Drosophila melanogaster: one gene and its partners. The protein of the gene in region 1 interacts with the protein of each later gene in a pairwise test. Each region holds a gene or a part of one and is shown in the gene's direction. Other genes may lie near its edges.

Region 1 (7,723 bases):
GCAACTTCAACTGCAACAGCAAATGCAACAACTGTGGCAACAACCGACGACGACAACAACGGCATCTCAAGGTGAGTGAAGGCCAAGGGCCACATTTGGCCACAGCTTGGACACGGGAGTCATGCACTCCAGTGGCGAACAAAATGGGGGTCTTAGGGGGGTCATAAGTACCCTTAAAAATTATAATACTTGGTTAGATACATATGTATGTACATAAGAAATATATGTTTTATGCGAAGAGCTTACAAATATGACACAGAAAAGGGTTAATTAAATCGTTAAGTCCGCTAAATAAATAATATAATGTGAATTTTTAGACACCTTATAGTATACACTGAAGATATATACTTATTTCAACCGGACACTAAGAAAACCCCCTAAGAATATGTTTCCCATCCGCCTCTGATGCACTGCAGCTGCATTGGTATCTCCTGTTCCTCCTTCGCTGGTCATTTTTATTTTTAGCAGCGGGCTTATCGGATGCCTCAGATCTCTGGTGCTTAAACTTCGCTCCCGATTAGGAGGAGGAGGAGGAGCAACTGCAAGAACCACATTGGATTGGCCTTGACGGCTCGGCTGATAAGTGCGTTTTAATGTTAGCCCCGTTGGCACTCAGTTTCAATCAAAGCCCAATTCTCTACAACCATTCCAGCCTGGCTTAATGAGCTGGTTAGTTCTGGCCTGGAATTGAAGTTGGATTGGCAATATAGTCCGGTCCACTTGGTTCACTCCCTTTGTTCTGTCTCGAGTGGACTGTGCCCTGATTTGTGTACCACCATTGGTTCTTTGAACTGCCTTCGTGGCTAATTAAAGGTGCACTTAAGATAGGCCAGGTGGCAAGAATCATGTTTTTCATTTTTCAGGACTGGGAGTACTTTGATTTTATGTCCTAGAAAAAAAGAGCAAACGAATCAGTCTAAAAGGTATTTCAGCTGTAAAACATTCCATAAATATAGGAAATTTAACTCTTTCTAATTTTAATTAAAGAATATTCTAAACGTCATCTGGTCAATAAACTAAATGAATATTGTAGAATGAAATATTTAAATTACATATCAAACATTGTATATTAAATAATAATAATCAATGGACCTCTGTTTGTAATACCTAATGCTTAATTTACGAAATTAATTAGAAGTCTCCTCAGGGTATTTCGTTTTCCAAGTTAGTCTTTCAGTTGCTTTGTATTTTGGTTTTGGGCCAGGGCTATGACTTCATCGAGTTGGCCACAAAAACTTACCAAATTCTTCCGACCGTCAGTTCTCATAAATCAATGTCAAAGGTTTTTTTTTCGTTCGTTTAGGGTTTGTTTTGGGTTTAGGACGGGCTTGTTGTTTCAGTATGTGTTTAATCATTTTATGGAGTGCGAAGTAATTTCCTTATGATTTCCTATTTGACTTTTACTTTTTCCTGAATGTCCAAAATAGAAAAGTTCAAAGAACCCATTTACCTAGTAAGGCGGTCGACAAATCTTAACCGCTTGAAATAAGTACTCATTTGCATAGCTAAGCATGAGCTCACTGGTTAGTATAGCCCAAGTCACACCCCAAAAACACGTCTAAGTAAGCCCAAAAGATACACCCTTCATTATTCGAATTGTCTGGCACTTGTTGTGTGTGTTTTTTGCCCAACAATTTCACGCATCGTTTTTTGTTTTTTTGCGCTTAAACAAATTTACTGACTACAAACTCACTGTTTTAGTAGCTCAGACTGTGTGGCGAACCCCTCCCCTTCTCTTTAGACAATATAAAATCAGGAAAAGCTTTAAGCTTTATTCCCTAGAATTTCACTCACAACAAACCAAAATTTTGAGTGTAACTTGTTGGTTTGATAAGATTCTGGTGTGTAGCGTCACTTTTGTTATTCTGAGTTGTTTTTAGGTCTCGTTTGTTTCTTTTTCTTTCTGATAAATGGCTTCGTCGTGTGGCTTTCGTTGTTAGTTTTCGTGTATAAAATTTTGCGAAATGAAGTCATCGCTTGAAAAAAAATTGGGGGGTCAGTAAAAGTGTCTATAAGATCCAAATCGTTTTCCTTATCTCATTCAGAAAGTTTTGGAATTTATGTTAGCTCACCAACGATTTGCCATCTTTTCTTTGGATAAAATGCTAAGGAGGATTTTCCTTTTTGAGTTTCTATTTCACTCAGCGAAAGCTCACTCAAAACAAAAATATCACTCATACGCCGCTTGGGCCTTCGCTAGCCACTGGCTGCGCATTTGTCCAAACAGTTGAGTTTCGACATCGCCAGCATTCGCGCGTTTGCCTTAAAGTGATTGGAAAATAGCCGAGGAATAAAACAAATATTTTTTTGGAAATATATTCAAGAATTTTTGGAACTTTTTTAATAACAAATGTAAGTTGGAAACGTTTCGAGAAAAATAATCTAGTTCGTTGGATTTATTTTTTTTTTTAAAATGTTACTGTATCCTGCATCTATAAGCAGACTCCGAGCCAAGGATATTTTTTTTATTCATTTTATGAGTAGCAGGTTCATATTTTCAAGAGCAGATTTTGACCCACTTACCGCGCATCGCGTTCCCCTTTTCTTTTGTTCCTGGGGAGCACCATTGTTTTCGATTTCCTTTGGGAGGTCCTGATTTAGGCGCATTTTCCCCGCTTCCGTGTGTATATATGCGTGCATTTGAATCATCAGTCTGAAATTCCAGTACCGAGACCCCCCAGGAAACCCCTTCTCCAAACTGGCGCTTGCGCGTTTCCCAGCTCCCAGTGATGTCATCTGGGCTAGTGGTGATGTAGCTACACATTTCATACACATATTATGTCCCGAGCATAAGTCCCCCTCCTAAGTCAATGATTTCTCTATTGCGTTGCGTGCTCTATCAGAATGCCCATGACTTCCTGTTTTGTTCCCCCCAAAATAAAAGTTCTCTTTAATTTATGCATTCAGTCCGAGGTGCTAATATTTCTGTGTGTTTATTAACACACGTAAACTCATATGTGGTGCAGTATTTCATGTTTCTCCCCCCAAAGTCGTTTGTTTTATAAATATACATCGAGATGACCCAAATTTCGCTTCCTCCATTCGCTTTCCAGCGGTCCACTTGAGGTAGGTTGGGTTTATAATTGCGTTCCCCTCTCCAGGAAGTCCATTCTTTTCGAAAATGGCTATCTATAATATTCATTCATATTCCTATTCAAATTGTGGTCATATGTCATATATATTGCCCAATTAACTTTTACCATTTTGGTAGAAAACTAATTAAAATGTTGGCAACGAATTCGCAATGCTCGACTGGAGCTGGATGAGAACTTGTTCTCCAAATCGAAAATACAGAGAAAGAATCCAAAACAGAGATGGGAAATGAGAAGAATCGAATTATTTATGGTCTGACAAGCAAGCGGATTATTTCTGATTTAGACTATCCACGCTCCCCATCAGACTGCCTGATTTTCTGCCATTCATTTCACGAGGGGTATCTGCACTTTGAGTTGCCAAAGAATATTAAGAAAATAATTTATTTTGTGTGAATATAGTATCCAAGTCTGATCAGGGTATCATAGGATGAGTCTTTCCATTGTCGATTGCGATGATTTAATACTTCCGCTTTTTAAATTGATTACGATCATCTTAAACTGTTAGTATTTCCCTCGAATAATTATAATATTTAGATTTTTGTAAAACCTTTCAGAAAATTATTAGCAATCGGGCTTCTATTAAAAATCAAACTAATAACGTCAATCTTAGTGTAGAAAATTGGATCTAACAATCCGAACTATTTGCATTGGCTGATGGTAGTTAAAAAAGATTGATTTTACTAATATTACAAAATGAATTCTATTGTGAAAAAAAGCATTTTGAAAGCCACCATAGATAACCTAAAGATATTTCTTATTAGTTTTGATTTTACAGGTAATTTCCTAGTCGATAGCCTCTTGTTTTTTGCCATCTTAAAACTCTTCTTGCATATTCCAACTTCTTTTGTGGTGTAGTTTGTCAACTTTTCTTGTTTCCGAGTATTTATGGCTTCCAATTACATGTAGGGGCGGAGTAAAGGGTTCCATTAGTCTTGTCCGGGAACTGGGACCGGATAATTTGTATCGTCTTGAGCGGAGTTCAAGTTCAATGGCCCTGGTCTTGAGACCAATAAGATGATTAATGACCGGCAGACTTGCTATGCATGCAATGTTCCCAATTAACCACTCAGTTTACATAGATCATTTCGATGGATTATCTGGGGAATATGGGCTATTAAATTGCCTCACCCCAGAGCTATTCAAAGCTGATCCCAGAACAGCGTAATCAAGAGCCGGCGTAATGAGGCGATGACATAAGCACTCATTTTTCGATTTGGATTGCGAATGGGGCTAGGGGGTGGTAAAATAGTATTTGACATGCTCGACGGGCTGCATCAAGGTCATGGTGATTCTACCCCGCCCGTCCACTTCGATTTCGATTCGCATCTGTGCGGGCACAAGCCGTGGCATCATATCTCACGGATAGAGGACTCCAAACTGGTTGCAGTCGCATCTTATCGCCGCATTAAATGCTTGCCCAAACGGCTTCCATCTCTCCTGGGGCTCCAACTTGCAACCTTAAGTGGTGCGTAATTAATGGCTCCGCCAATAAATGCTCACGTTTTATTTACTGTTTATGGAATGATGGGGATGGGTCTGAGGATTCGACTTCGTGTTGGGTAGCCTGTAAACAAGAGGACAATTTATGCTACAAGCAATTTTAAAACTAAATTATCATCCAAATTTATGCCACGTTCGGTGGGTAACAAATTAAGCGAGGAATTTCTGGCGATGCGTAAAATATTTATTGCTCTTTTTGTTATTTTAATAAGCGTAAAAGTGATTCATTTTAATAATTTTAGGGTATATCTATAACTGTATAGCTGTACCGTAAATACCTAATATCGCCTTAGGATTATTAAAACCCATGATAACTGCATGCTAGAGACTAATCATAAAAGATCTAGCAAGCTAGCGCTAAGTTCTGACCCCCATAGAGTAACCCATGTGAGCCAAACCTGTTGACTATTTGTTTTGTGTATTTGGGTTTGCCAAAAGGCGATAATTAGCTGCGTTGGGAGATGGGGGACCCAAACCGATGACGCCATCTAATGATTGAGTCTCTCCCAATTTGCCTTTAGATTTCCATCTCTCGAAATCTAGCTGAGAGAGCTTTGGCCTAGCTTTGGGTGGGTATAGCTTTGCCTTTGTCCAGTTCAGCATGGGTTGTGATATCATTGCGAAAGCGAAGTGAGTAAAGTACTGATAAGGTGTTCGCAAAGATACGTCTGGGAATAGCACCTACATATGTAGATAGTTGACAGTGACGGACAAGACCCACCGCAATGTTGGTGAGCGTTGTGGCCCACAGGTGAGGAACTGCGTAGGTGACAACCGTAGTCAACCGATTACGCAGGAGCGGAAAAGTTGCGTGTTGGAAGAAACCACTACAAAATGTTAAACAAAACAATGACCTATCAGGCTAGGCATATTATTAATAATAAATGATCCTCAGTCCATCTGTAAAATTGAAGGTTCTTTGTCCGTAGTTGTTTATTTATTACTGGGCATCTATTAAAACACCTGTAGGGTTCAGTAAAGGTTAAAAAAATATATATAATATTAAATATATTTTTCAGATCCACCATGTCCGAGGTAGCTGCAGCAAATGGAAGCCCCTCCCCAGCGCCAACTCCTGAGGTGCCCGCTACCGAGTTGGCCCAATTGGCGCTGGAGGATGAGCCCAAGGTTAGCTTTTCGGATCAGTTCAAGGCCTTCTCCAAGTTCGGGGACTCCAAGTCCGATGGCAAGCTGATAACGCTGTCGCAGAGTGACAAGTGGATGAAACAGGCCAAAGTTATCGACAAGAAGATCACCACCACGGATACAGGCATCCACTTCAAGAAGTTCAAGGCCATGAAGATCTCGCTCAGCGACTACAACAAATTCCTGGACGATCTGGCCAAGACGAAAAAGGTGGAGCTGTCGGAGATCAAGCAAAAGTTGGCCAGTTGTGGAGCTCCAGGAGTTGTGTCCGTTTCGGTGGGTTTGATAAATTGGTTGTGAAAAATATGATCTATATAAGTCAAATGATTAAGATTGATTTTAAAGTGTAAAGAACTTCGAGAAGACCATTTAGATATGACAAAATTTAAATGATTTTTTTTTGACTCATTTAAACTATCAATTGTTAAAGTAGTTTTCTTACAGAAGTTCTTAAAAAATATCTTTTTAAACCTTTGAAAGTCATAACCATATACTTTATGCCTTTATTGAAAACCTAATCAACATTTTGTTACCATTTTTAGGCTGGAAAAGCCGCAGCTGCCGTGGATCGATTGACGGATACGAGCAAGTACACCGGTTCCCACAAGGAGCGTTTCGATGCCTCCGGAAAGGGCAAGGGTATCGCGGGCAGACGGAACGTGGTCGATGGATCCGGATATGTGAGTGGCTACCAGCACAAGGACACCTACGACAATGCCCACTAGATGGGGTAACCACCGTTTTTCACCCTCTCATAAATCTGTATTTCTAACTTTTGTGTTTCCCTAGTTAATGTCTCCCAATCTAATTTATCTTTGTGTATATAATAAGTTTGTGATAATTTAAGTGCTTACAAATAAACTTATATTTTTGATTATAATTTTTGAGTTCCTTTACTTTGTTTATCCTTCTTTGTCCTTTGATACGTAAAATTTTGAAGCGGCCCAAAAAGAGTTCAAAAGTAAATCCAAATCAAATTTATATACATTTCATGGCAATCAAACCCATGTTTGGTAGTCTTAAGATAACAGATAAACTTTTAATATTACAATTTGTGAAAGAAATTTAAATATCACATATGGAAACCAAAGATATACGACATACATATGTAGATATATGTTATGTTTTCACAAGAATTTTGCTTGAATAAATACACTTTAAAATATTTGCATTGCTAAAATTTGTATTGGGAGGAAATACAATTTAAAAAACCAAAATTTTAAAGCAATTAAGATGGTTTTGTAAATCGAAATATACATTTAATTGTAAGATCTTTGAAAAATGCCCAACATGTGTACCTTCTTAAAAGCAAAGATTTCACTGGAAGATAGTTATTAAGAGATCATTGCTTTATCTACACAATGACATTATCACTGATGCAAAGCTGACATCGAAAAACCGGAGCGGTGTGAAGCAGACTGAACGCTACAGCGACCAGATGGGGATGGAAATTGATATATGGGCATAAGTTGCATAATCCTAACCCAGAGCAGGTGGAAAACTAGCTATTGATTGCAGTCGAACCAAAGTCACTCAACGATATATCATATAGCCCTTGGGAAATAGGTATAAAAGCGGCGAACATTACAGCTCCAAGTCAGCAGTGCAACTGAGGAGCTCAGTGCTTGATGAAGCCACAAGGAATACCACCGACTACTACACGAATCAGCCAGACCAAGATGTCCTTTCGCGGCAAGAATGCAGTGGTGACCGGTGGAGCTGGAGGCATTGGACTGCAGGTGTCCAAGCAGCTCCTGGCCGCTGGAGCAGCGGTTGGTTGTTTTACACATAATTACGTGAAGTAATTTCTAAAGCGAGTGCTTCCTAGAAGGTGGCCATCATTGATTTGCAGGATAATCTGGAGGAGTTTGTAAAACTTAGGGCCGCTCATCCCACCCAAAGCGTAATGATCATCAAGATGGATGTGGCGAACAAGAAGGGTGTGGAAGCCACCTATGAGGAGATAGCCAAGACCTTCGGTA
Region 2 (4,354 bases), on another chromosome or scaffold:
TCGGTTTTATGGCTTTAAGGGTATATTAATCATCACTCTTGAACAGTTGCTACTCATTTATACGTGTCTGAACTGAATTACAATGAATACCAATTATAAAATGCACAGGAATTAAGGATATTATTTTTAGAAGCTATAGGTGGCATGCCATTTATTAGTAGCGTTAGCTGAGTATTTGATAAGTTTATTCACTAGTTTTACTTTAACAGAGGGACTTGTTTTTAACCTTTAACAAAACCTAACAAAAGCTCATTCTGTAAGTATATAAAAGTAGTCACCGCTGATAAAATATATATTTTTTTTATTTAAGTCTATATAATCTAAGTTTCAGACGATGCTTGCTCTTCGCGCTTAGCGCTAGCAAAGCTTCGAGATTATAATCTCAGCCGCTTATAATCTGCGTAAGACCGCCATCATCGTAGCCACCTCCACCGCCGCCTCCGTAGCCTCCTCCACCTCCTCCTCCGCCGTTACCATAGCCGGGTCCAAAGTTGCCCGAATATACTGGACGACGGCCACCTCCTCCACCTCCGCCGCCGTTGTAGTATCCTCCACCGCCTCCGCCTGCGTTGTATCCACCTCCTCCTCCTCGTCCTCCGTTGCCACCTGTGTAGACTCCAGGTCCTTGGCCTCCGGGTGGATTACCTAATAGTGATATTTAAATCAGTTTCTTGAGGAGTAGTAGTTACTTAATTGCGCGCTAGCTACTGCATTTTTTACGCAAGCCAGCAAATGTACTATGCGCTATAGAAATTAAAAGCTTAAAGCTAAGTGTTCGGAATTATATTATTCATAAACTTAACCAATAACAAATGTTTAGAGTATCGTTAATAATCACTTAATGACTTTCGTTGCCAAGAAATACCATAATATAATAACAAATTGATTGTTCATTCAAACTTTCGCTAATGAAAACACAAAATTTCCTTTTAAACTATGCCTGATGTGGCAGCGACGAAAATCGTTGAACAATTTTTGAATAAATGGCCCAAATTAATAGGCATTGACTTACAGTCGTAGCAACCGCCACCGATGTAAACAGCCGCCTCCGTTAGAGCCAGTGCAAAAAAAGCGATAATCGCAAATGCCGTCAAGGTTCTCATTGTGGCTGGTCTATTAGAACGTCGAACTGGTCTGGACCAGGTACGAACCGCAACAGCAGCTTATATACGATGCACTCATCGATTCCGATTCCGATACTGAATTTGAATTCGAATTCAAACCCAAACAGACCTTATCGCTGCAAAGAACTATTGCTGTGCAAACAAACCACTACGTATGTATTAAGTATTAATCTCAGGGAATTGCCCGCGGATGGGTTTCAAAAACAATCTGTAGCGCATCAGTTGGTCAGTCGTATTGCATTCAAGATACTCTACGTTACCTTTTTAACATAACAAATACACAAAATCTGTAAAATCTATAATAAGTCAGACACTTTTCATTTCTACAAAGTTGCAAAGATTTATTTTTAATGAAATGTATTTGTTTTCAAATATATTTTTTGCTTTTTCATTGTATTAAGTATCTTATTATTTAAATATAAATTGTTAGCTTTAGAACTAAAGCTTCTACATTTCACTCACGAGTCACGACTTTCGGTTCTGTAACCAGTTTTCCTTAGATGTATGGATAAAATTTAATGGTGTGCGATTCTCTGGAATCGCTTGCCATTCATGTTTACGTCTGGGAATAATTGTAAACCGACTTTTCGGGGCGTGACTGTCATAAGTTTCTTTGAAGAAGTTCAAGGAAATCAACTACGTCGACCTGATGCCACAAAACCGTGTGCGGAAAACCCCATCGAATTGCGATTTGATAGTGTTCTAGTGTGAAATTAATTTAAATATATTGTTCAAATACAAATCGAAAGCTCCAAACGCTTAGGCTTATGCAAATCGATTTTGATTCGGATCGAATCAAGTGCCGGACTATATAAGTAGCGTGAGAGTCGATACGGTCATCTATCTATCGGCTTTAATATGAAGTACCTGACGTGTGTGCTGCTCCCGTTGGCTTTAATTCCGACTCTGATCGGCGGTAAGCTGGACGGGATTGCTGCTGACGCTAATTGATACACACTGAAATTATTTCCAGCTCATCCCAGCACAGTGGTGGTGAATGGCGTCTGTCTGACTTGTAAGTTGCGATTGTTTTGCCAGCTAGGCAATTGGACAACTTAATGAATAATAATATGCACTCGAAAAGGTCCCAATCCGAATGGTGAACCCGTCTACCTGGATGGCCAGCAGTACCGCAGCTTCTCCTCATCCCCTGGCGATGGTAATGTGGTCATTTCCCGTGGAAATGACGGTAGTGGCGGTGGAGGTGGCACCATTTACCGGAGGGGTGGTAATACCATCGTCAATGGCAGATGTCAGCACTGCAACGTGGATCCCTATTAAAGGCTTAAACAATAAAGTCTGAATATTGAATTAAAATTGCGCACATATCGATCAATCCATTTCATACTTACACTTGGCTATGTACAACATCATTTAGCTAAAAGCATTGACAATCGTTCAACCCAGTCTCTCTGCAAATTCGATGAATGTGATGGTTTCGAGTGCAGAGGGCATCATCTGATGGAGGCAAAAAATGGAAAAATGAGCGTTTTATATTCAGTTTTTGTTACCACGAAGTACACGTGGAGAAACATGAAACATCCGAGTTATTTTATGCTGCGAAAAAAGCGTGAAGAATGTTATAATTGCTTTTGGTCGAAATATTCAGTCCTGAAAATCAAATTTTTCACATTTAAAATAAGAATTTTTTTTAACGATTTCCAGTACCTCATTGCGTGCACTGCGAGCTGTCTGTTTGTGAACATTGGCTTCTCTCATCCTTCTCAAAAATAAGTGATACAAAAGCGTTACATTTTCAAAAGCCTTGGTTTCAAAACAGTCTGCAAATAAGGGAAGACCCACGGATTTTGTGACGGAAAAATAGAGAAATTCGTGCTGCCAATGGCATCGATTGTTTGAACTTCAGCTAGTTGCCACATAAACTGGGCTGGGAGCTGACGTCGCTGTCTCCAGAGTATTGCACAGCATCGATAATCAAATGCGAGTAACCAACCGTGCAATTTACGCCAGTGGATGTGTTGTCAATGAAAACGCTGGCCTGATGTAAGGGTGCTTAAGGTTGCGCGTGCCACGTGGCGTATACGTAATGCTACTGCAGGAACGGCAAACAGAAGCCTCTCAAATATTTGCTTTGAAACTAACTACTCGACAAACAGTAAACACTTAGTGCATACACACACACACACACACACACACACTTCCCAAGAATATTTTGTGCAGAAGTTTCGAATAAAACTGATGCTGTGTTTTTATATACAGAATAAGAAGGGAAAAGTTTCATTCAGGCTTAGCATGCGAAAACAATTAAAATTGTAAAAGGATTACTTAACAATCATACAATTTTGATTTAAGCGTATAACTTAAGAGAATAGTATTGATTCCCGGACATCCAAGAATAAAAACCTAAGCTTTATTTGCAATTAAAAAAAAATACAATGCATTGAAATCAATGGACTGCCCTTGCGGATGTGCTAAATTCAGAAAAACGCTCGACTGGCTTAAAATTCAATGAACATTTGGGTGGCATAACCATACCAATCGTAAAGGGTTTCGATACACTTTCTCTGATTTACTTTTAATACACTTTATTGGCAGAAATGTGTCGTTTCCTATCTTTTTGGGTCACAAATTGTTTACACGCAACTTTAGAAGCCCCATGAAGCTGAGGAACTCAGTCCTAGTCCAGAACAGGGTGGTTTATCTGCCTAGCAACTTAAGGACCTTGAGCTGGGGAATGTTCGAAATTGAATTTATGTTGACTTGTATTTGATTTCAGGTCAATTTCTGTTCTCTTGTGCCTAATTTGTGCGGCATTAGAGGGGAATTTCTGGGGCAGGTGAAAGGTGAGCCGATCGGACTTGTGGCAGCAGTGGCCATCTCCTTCACGCTTTTCAAATAAATTTTAACTTTTTTCTGTTTCGCCCCCGCAGTGTTTTGCCAGAAGGCAGAATTGATTTATTTGTACACCAATGTTGTTTGCCCTGGGGGCAGCGCCTTTGGTAATATTGTCACGTGCTTGGAAACTCTTATATCTGCCACTGGTTGAGCTTTATTTGAAAATCCCGGCCGCATAGCAAATTTACATAGCTTTAATTATTATATTTTACCCCCAACTCGCCAATGCTTGTATAAAGTCGCTCTTCTGTTTACTGCCTCCTTTTGGGGCGCCAGAAGATATTAATAAATAAATTAAATTCCATGTACCCAGCACTTCATTATCGACAGGATTATTCCTTTTCCCACCATCGAAATTGGAATTCCGACTTTGC
Region 3 (4,067 bases), on another chromosome or scaffold:
ATGCATCACTGATATCTGGAAAGGGTCAAAAAGGTATGGTACAGGAACTGCTGGCTGTGCCAGCTTCCACCGGAAAATATTTGCTTCCGTTCTTTGCCGTGTCCATTCTGTGGGATGGAAAATAAATTACAATTAAATGCAACAAACATGCAACACTCACTTACTCACTGCGGAACGCGGCGGATGTTTATTATCAAGTGGATACAACGGCGACAACCTCATTAGCTTCTGCCCCTGGTCGGTGCCCATCGATGCCATGGCTCCCATTCCCTATCCCATTCCCTCCATCCATCGCCCTTTTCCAGATCGAGCGACAGTAAAAGTGGCCCGGGCATGCTAATCCGGAAGTAGGTCATTTTCCGAACGCAAATGAAAGCGTGAGCTCAGCTCGAACTCGGGCTGAAAAGCGATGAAAATCGTAGTGATGAATACATATGTGTGCCTGCTGCGAGTGGGATGCGCTGCCATGGGAAATTGAAACCGAAAACTTCAGTGGAAAGCGAGCTTCAAATGGGAGTCGCATGCACAGAGCCACTGTCATTATAATACGGCAATCAAAATGAGAAATAAGACATAAGATTTGTATGCGAATGGTGTGACTGGGAATAAAGAAGGCTATCTTAAAGTTACTATGAAAATCATCTAACGACGTTAATAAACATAATCATAACTTCATATAGTAAGATGTGCATTTGAGATTTCAAGCCATACTAGTTAAATTTTCTTTGTTCTATTTACTTTTTGAATATAAATTATAGTATGGTTAAGTTTTAAATAGTTTATTTCTCATCAAGATTAGCTGATGAATTTTTCCACTTAATTGAATTTTAAATGCGCAGTTATCTAAAATATGTTGGGTTCCGTTCTCCTTCTAAGGTAAATTCCAGTTTGCTGTCCGTATAACACCATTCTTGACCAAGATTACAAGGCATTTACAAGGCATAAAGACTTTTGACCATTTGTGGAAAGCAGCGGCCATTTAAGCAGCGTTCCGTAGACACCACGCAAAATGCGAGCAACTTGCGCATAAATCGCTATGTTTTAAACAATTAACAGTGGCCACCTACCCAAAATGGGGGATCCAAAACGATTCACAGAGTGACCGATCGCCCACGAGATGGCCATGCCTCAGTTTTCTGAATCCCACGTTCAATTTCGCTTTCAATTTGACGCGTGCGCAGGCGCAACCTTTCAATTTACATATGTGGACATGTGGGCGAAATTTTAGTATAATTTTTTCTCATTCTAGCCGCTCTGCGGATGCTGAAAGTTTTTTCAATTGCAGTTTCACTTTTAGCTAAAGACAATGGTTCGTTTTTATGATCTGCTTTTTTTTTATTTTTCTTTAATTTGGCTTGGGAATTGCGTTTGCATCGGTAACACATATATCGTGACTTCAATGATCTCAGATATACATTGCCGGATTTTATGTAATTAATTATGTACAGCATCTATAACTACATAGCAACTATTTTAAGGTATAGTAAAAACATATTTTGTATAATTAACACGGTATTTTCCTTAATCGACCAGCAATTCAAAGAAACCAACACTTTTCTCGCTTTTATATTGTTGAAAACCATGTTAAATTGATTGTCTAAGAATTTGATATTTACATATATTATTTCAATAAATACTCGACTATGGCATTTTTCTTTGTATATTTGTTTGAACTGCGTAAGTCTTAAAATTGTTAGCCTCGACTAAAGCACCCGATGCCAAGAAGAATCTTATAAAAAAAACCGAAGATATCCGTCCGGAGGCCAGAAAAATGTATATATCTTAATATCTAGAATACTACAGGACTAAAATGTATATTCAACGAATATTTATATATTTTGATGATGTTTTTTTTTTTTTTGAAAATTGCAATACTACAAGATCATATTTATAAATATCAAGCAGAACGAAACAAGAGCCGTTGCAAAAGCGCTTATGTAACATGAAATTCGTATATATAAGGAATGCAATAATACCTTACTTCAGCTGAAGCCACTTCTTCGAAATGAACCAGATTTTATTATGCTCTCCAATTTTACGTAAGTTGACTTATGCATTTTTGAGCACATTTAAGAACGAGTATCTTTTCGTTTAGTGCTGCTTTTTACAGTGGCAAGCTGCGATAGTGAGCAACAACTCGATTCAGCTATGCACCTGAAAAGTGATTCTACGAAAAGTGCATCTCTGAAAAATGTTGCTCCCAAGAATGATGAGACACAGGCCAAAATAGCCAAAGATGATGTAGCTCTGAAAGATGCGAAAAAGGGCGATTATATAATGGATATCGATATTTCTGATTTGCCGCTGGATGATTATCCAATCAATAGGTCCAAATCACTAAAAAGCTCTTCCATTGACTTGAATAATATTCCTTTCAATAAAGGACTAGATGATTTCCCGGCAAAAGAAAAAAATCAAGGATCCAATCAAAGTGCGCTCAAGGCCCTGCAACAGAGGTTACTAACGGAGCAGAACAATAGTTTACTTCTCCGGAACCATTCCATATACTTGATGAAAGAAATAGAGGCCAGAAAAACGGATATTATCAAAGTACGACAGTTAAACCTCGATTTAGAGCTCGAGCTAAATACTGTGAACCGCAGACTTTTGGAATTGAATGGGCAACTGCAAAACACTCGAAAGTCCACAAAGCCGTGTAAGAAACGTTCTAGTAAGGATAGCGCCCCACCTGCCGCCAATCAGTTTCAGGAAGCCAACGTCAGGAACACTTACCGTAACAAATATCTAACACTTCTGAAAGAACTTAGTCAGAAGATCAATAACGAAATCGCGAAAGTCGCTACCGATGTACCCACGGAGACAAATCCTTCCCAAGGGAATCTACCAACACTTTAATAGTTAAAATCATATGGTTTCCCATCATTTAAGAACAGAAACAATAGTATTGAGTCATTGCAAGACCTTCTAATTGCGCACTTACTTATTTTTCTGATCTTGTTAGCCGTAATAAATGCGATTCATAACGCTTAGGCCAAGTGCTGGTTGGATTCTTTACAGTCTAGAGAATACGTTTCCACAATGAACTACTTCGCGGTGATCTGCATTTTCTGTAAGTTCGTAAGGATCTTCGAGGTTCTTAGAGTTTGCCTAATTTAGTTTTCATCACTTAGCCTGCATTTGCCTTTGGCAATTTAGCGATGCTGCCCCCTTTATAAGCGTTCAGTCTAGTTCACAATCAAGATCCCAGAAAGTGATGAATGGCATGTTGAGAACCCTATACGACTACAGTGTTCAGGATAGTGTGAACGATGCGACTGGGCATTTGATACAAACTCACAAAGCAGACTTCAACTCGGATGTCATGAGTCCTGATGAAATAGAGAGTGTGCGCCAGCAACTGAACATGGCATAATTTTGGATTCACCAGCAAATATCTTAAACAGCGATTATTGCATATGCTTTTTAACCGCAGTTACTTCAAGCAAAATATTATGTATCTATGCAATATGTAATATATCATTTAAAAGATATAATAACCCAAATAAAGTATTTACCATATTATAATGGACATGGACTCTAAGAAGCTTTTGAAATAAGAGTTCCGATATTTTCCAAAGCTGTGATAAAATTGTATTTGAAATATAGAGTGGGGTATATGGTATTTGTAGTTATACATATAAAATGTTATACATATAAATGCAGACGAAAGGACATAAATATAAAATACATTTTAGACATAAACTCGACCTGTGGGTCATAAAGATTCGTCTAGCTCAACTTTCACAAATATGGGATCAGTAATATGCGATACTGTGGCGCCTCTTTAACATAGTTTATACATTTGGTCAGGTTCTTTTGGTTTTTGGCCGACATTTACCTGCTTTTAGCTACCTGTGGTCCCCGTGGTGATTTGTTCGTCTGCCCTAATTTCCACGACAAAAGTAGAGTGGAATTTCGGCCTTAACTGGAATTCTGTAAAGGTAAAAGTGTTGTGTTACGTGCTATTAAAATGACCTTTCTCTGCTTGAGAGCGTCTCGTTTGACAAATTTATGAATACTTTCGGTCGGAGGATCGAACCCTTTTCTCGCTGCTTGAGTTCCAAATG

The links. Proteins that work in one complex are often made in the same cells at the same time.
Region 2: the proteins of ringer (region 1) and BomBc3 interact in a two-hybrid assay, tested with the Drosophila melanogaster proteins (one large-scale study listed by BioGRID).
Region 3: the proteins of ringer (region 1) and Acp26Aa interact in a two-hybrid assay, tested with the Drosophila melanogaster proteins (one large-scale study listed by BioGRID).

Annotation. Positions count from the first base shown.
Region 1 is NT_037436.4:16,353,928-16,361,650, reverse strand, and holds ringer (ringmaker), read left to right. Parts: upstream 1-2,222; 5' UTR 2,223-2,352; intron 2,353-5,202; exon of another isoform or gene 5,203-5,346; intron 5,347-5,459; exon of another isoform or gene 5,460-5,560; intron 5,561-5,614; 5' UTR 5,615-5,621; coding exon 5,622-6,017; intron 6,018-6,283; coding exon 6,284-6,466; 3' UTR 6,467-6,905; downstream 6,906-7,723. Other genes in the region: Pdh (photoreceptor dehydrogenase), read left to right, coding at 7,370-7,513, 7,570-7,723.
Region 2 is NT_033777.3:22,085,221-22,089,574, forward strand, and holds BomBc3 (bomanin bicipital 3), read left to right. Parts: upstream 1-1,962; 5' UTR 1,963-1,982; coding exon 1,983-2,040; intron 2,041-2,097; coding exon 2,098-2,139; intron 2,140-2,208; coding exon 2,209-2,405; 3' UTR 2,406-3,281; downstream 3,282-4,354. Other genes in the region: BomT3 (bomanin tailed 3), read right to left, coding at 383-645, 1,013-1,103.
Region 3 is NT_033779.5:5,891,810-5,895,876, reverse strand, and holds Acp26Aa (accessory gland protein 26Aa), read left to right. Parts: upstream 1-1,980; 5' UTR 1,981-2,005; coding exon 2,006-2,039; intron 2,040-2,095; coding exon 2,096-2,856; 3' UTR 2,857-2,994; downstream 2,995-4,067. Other genes in the region: Acp26Ab (accessory gland protein 26Ab), read left to right, coding at 3,040-3,070, 3,132-3,373. UniProt on the Drosophila melanogaster protein: Male seminal protein which enhances ovulation in female Drosophila by stimulating the release of oocytes by the ovary following mating.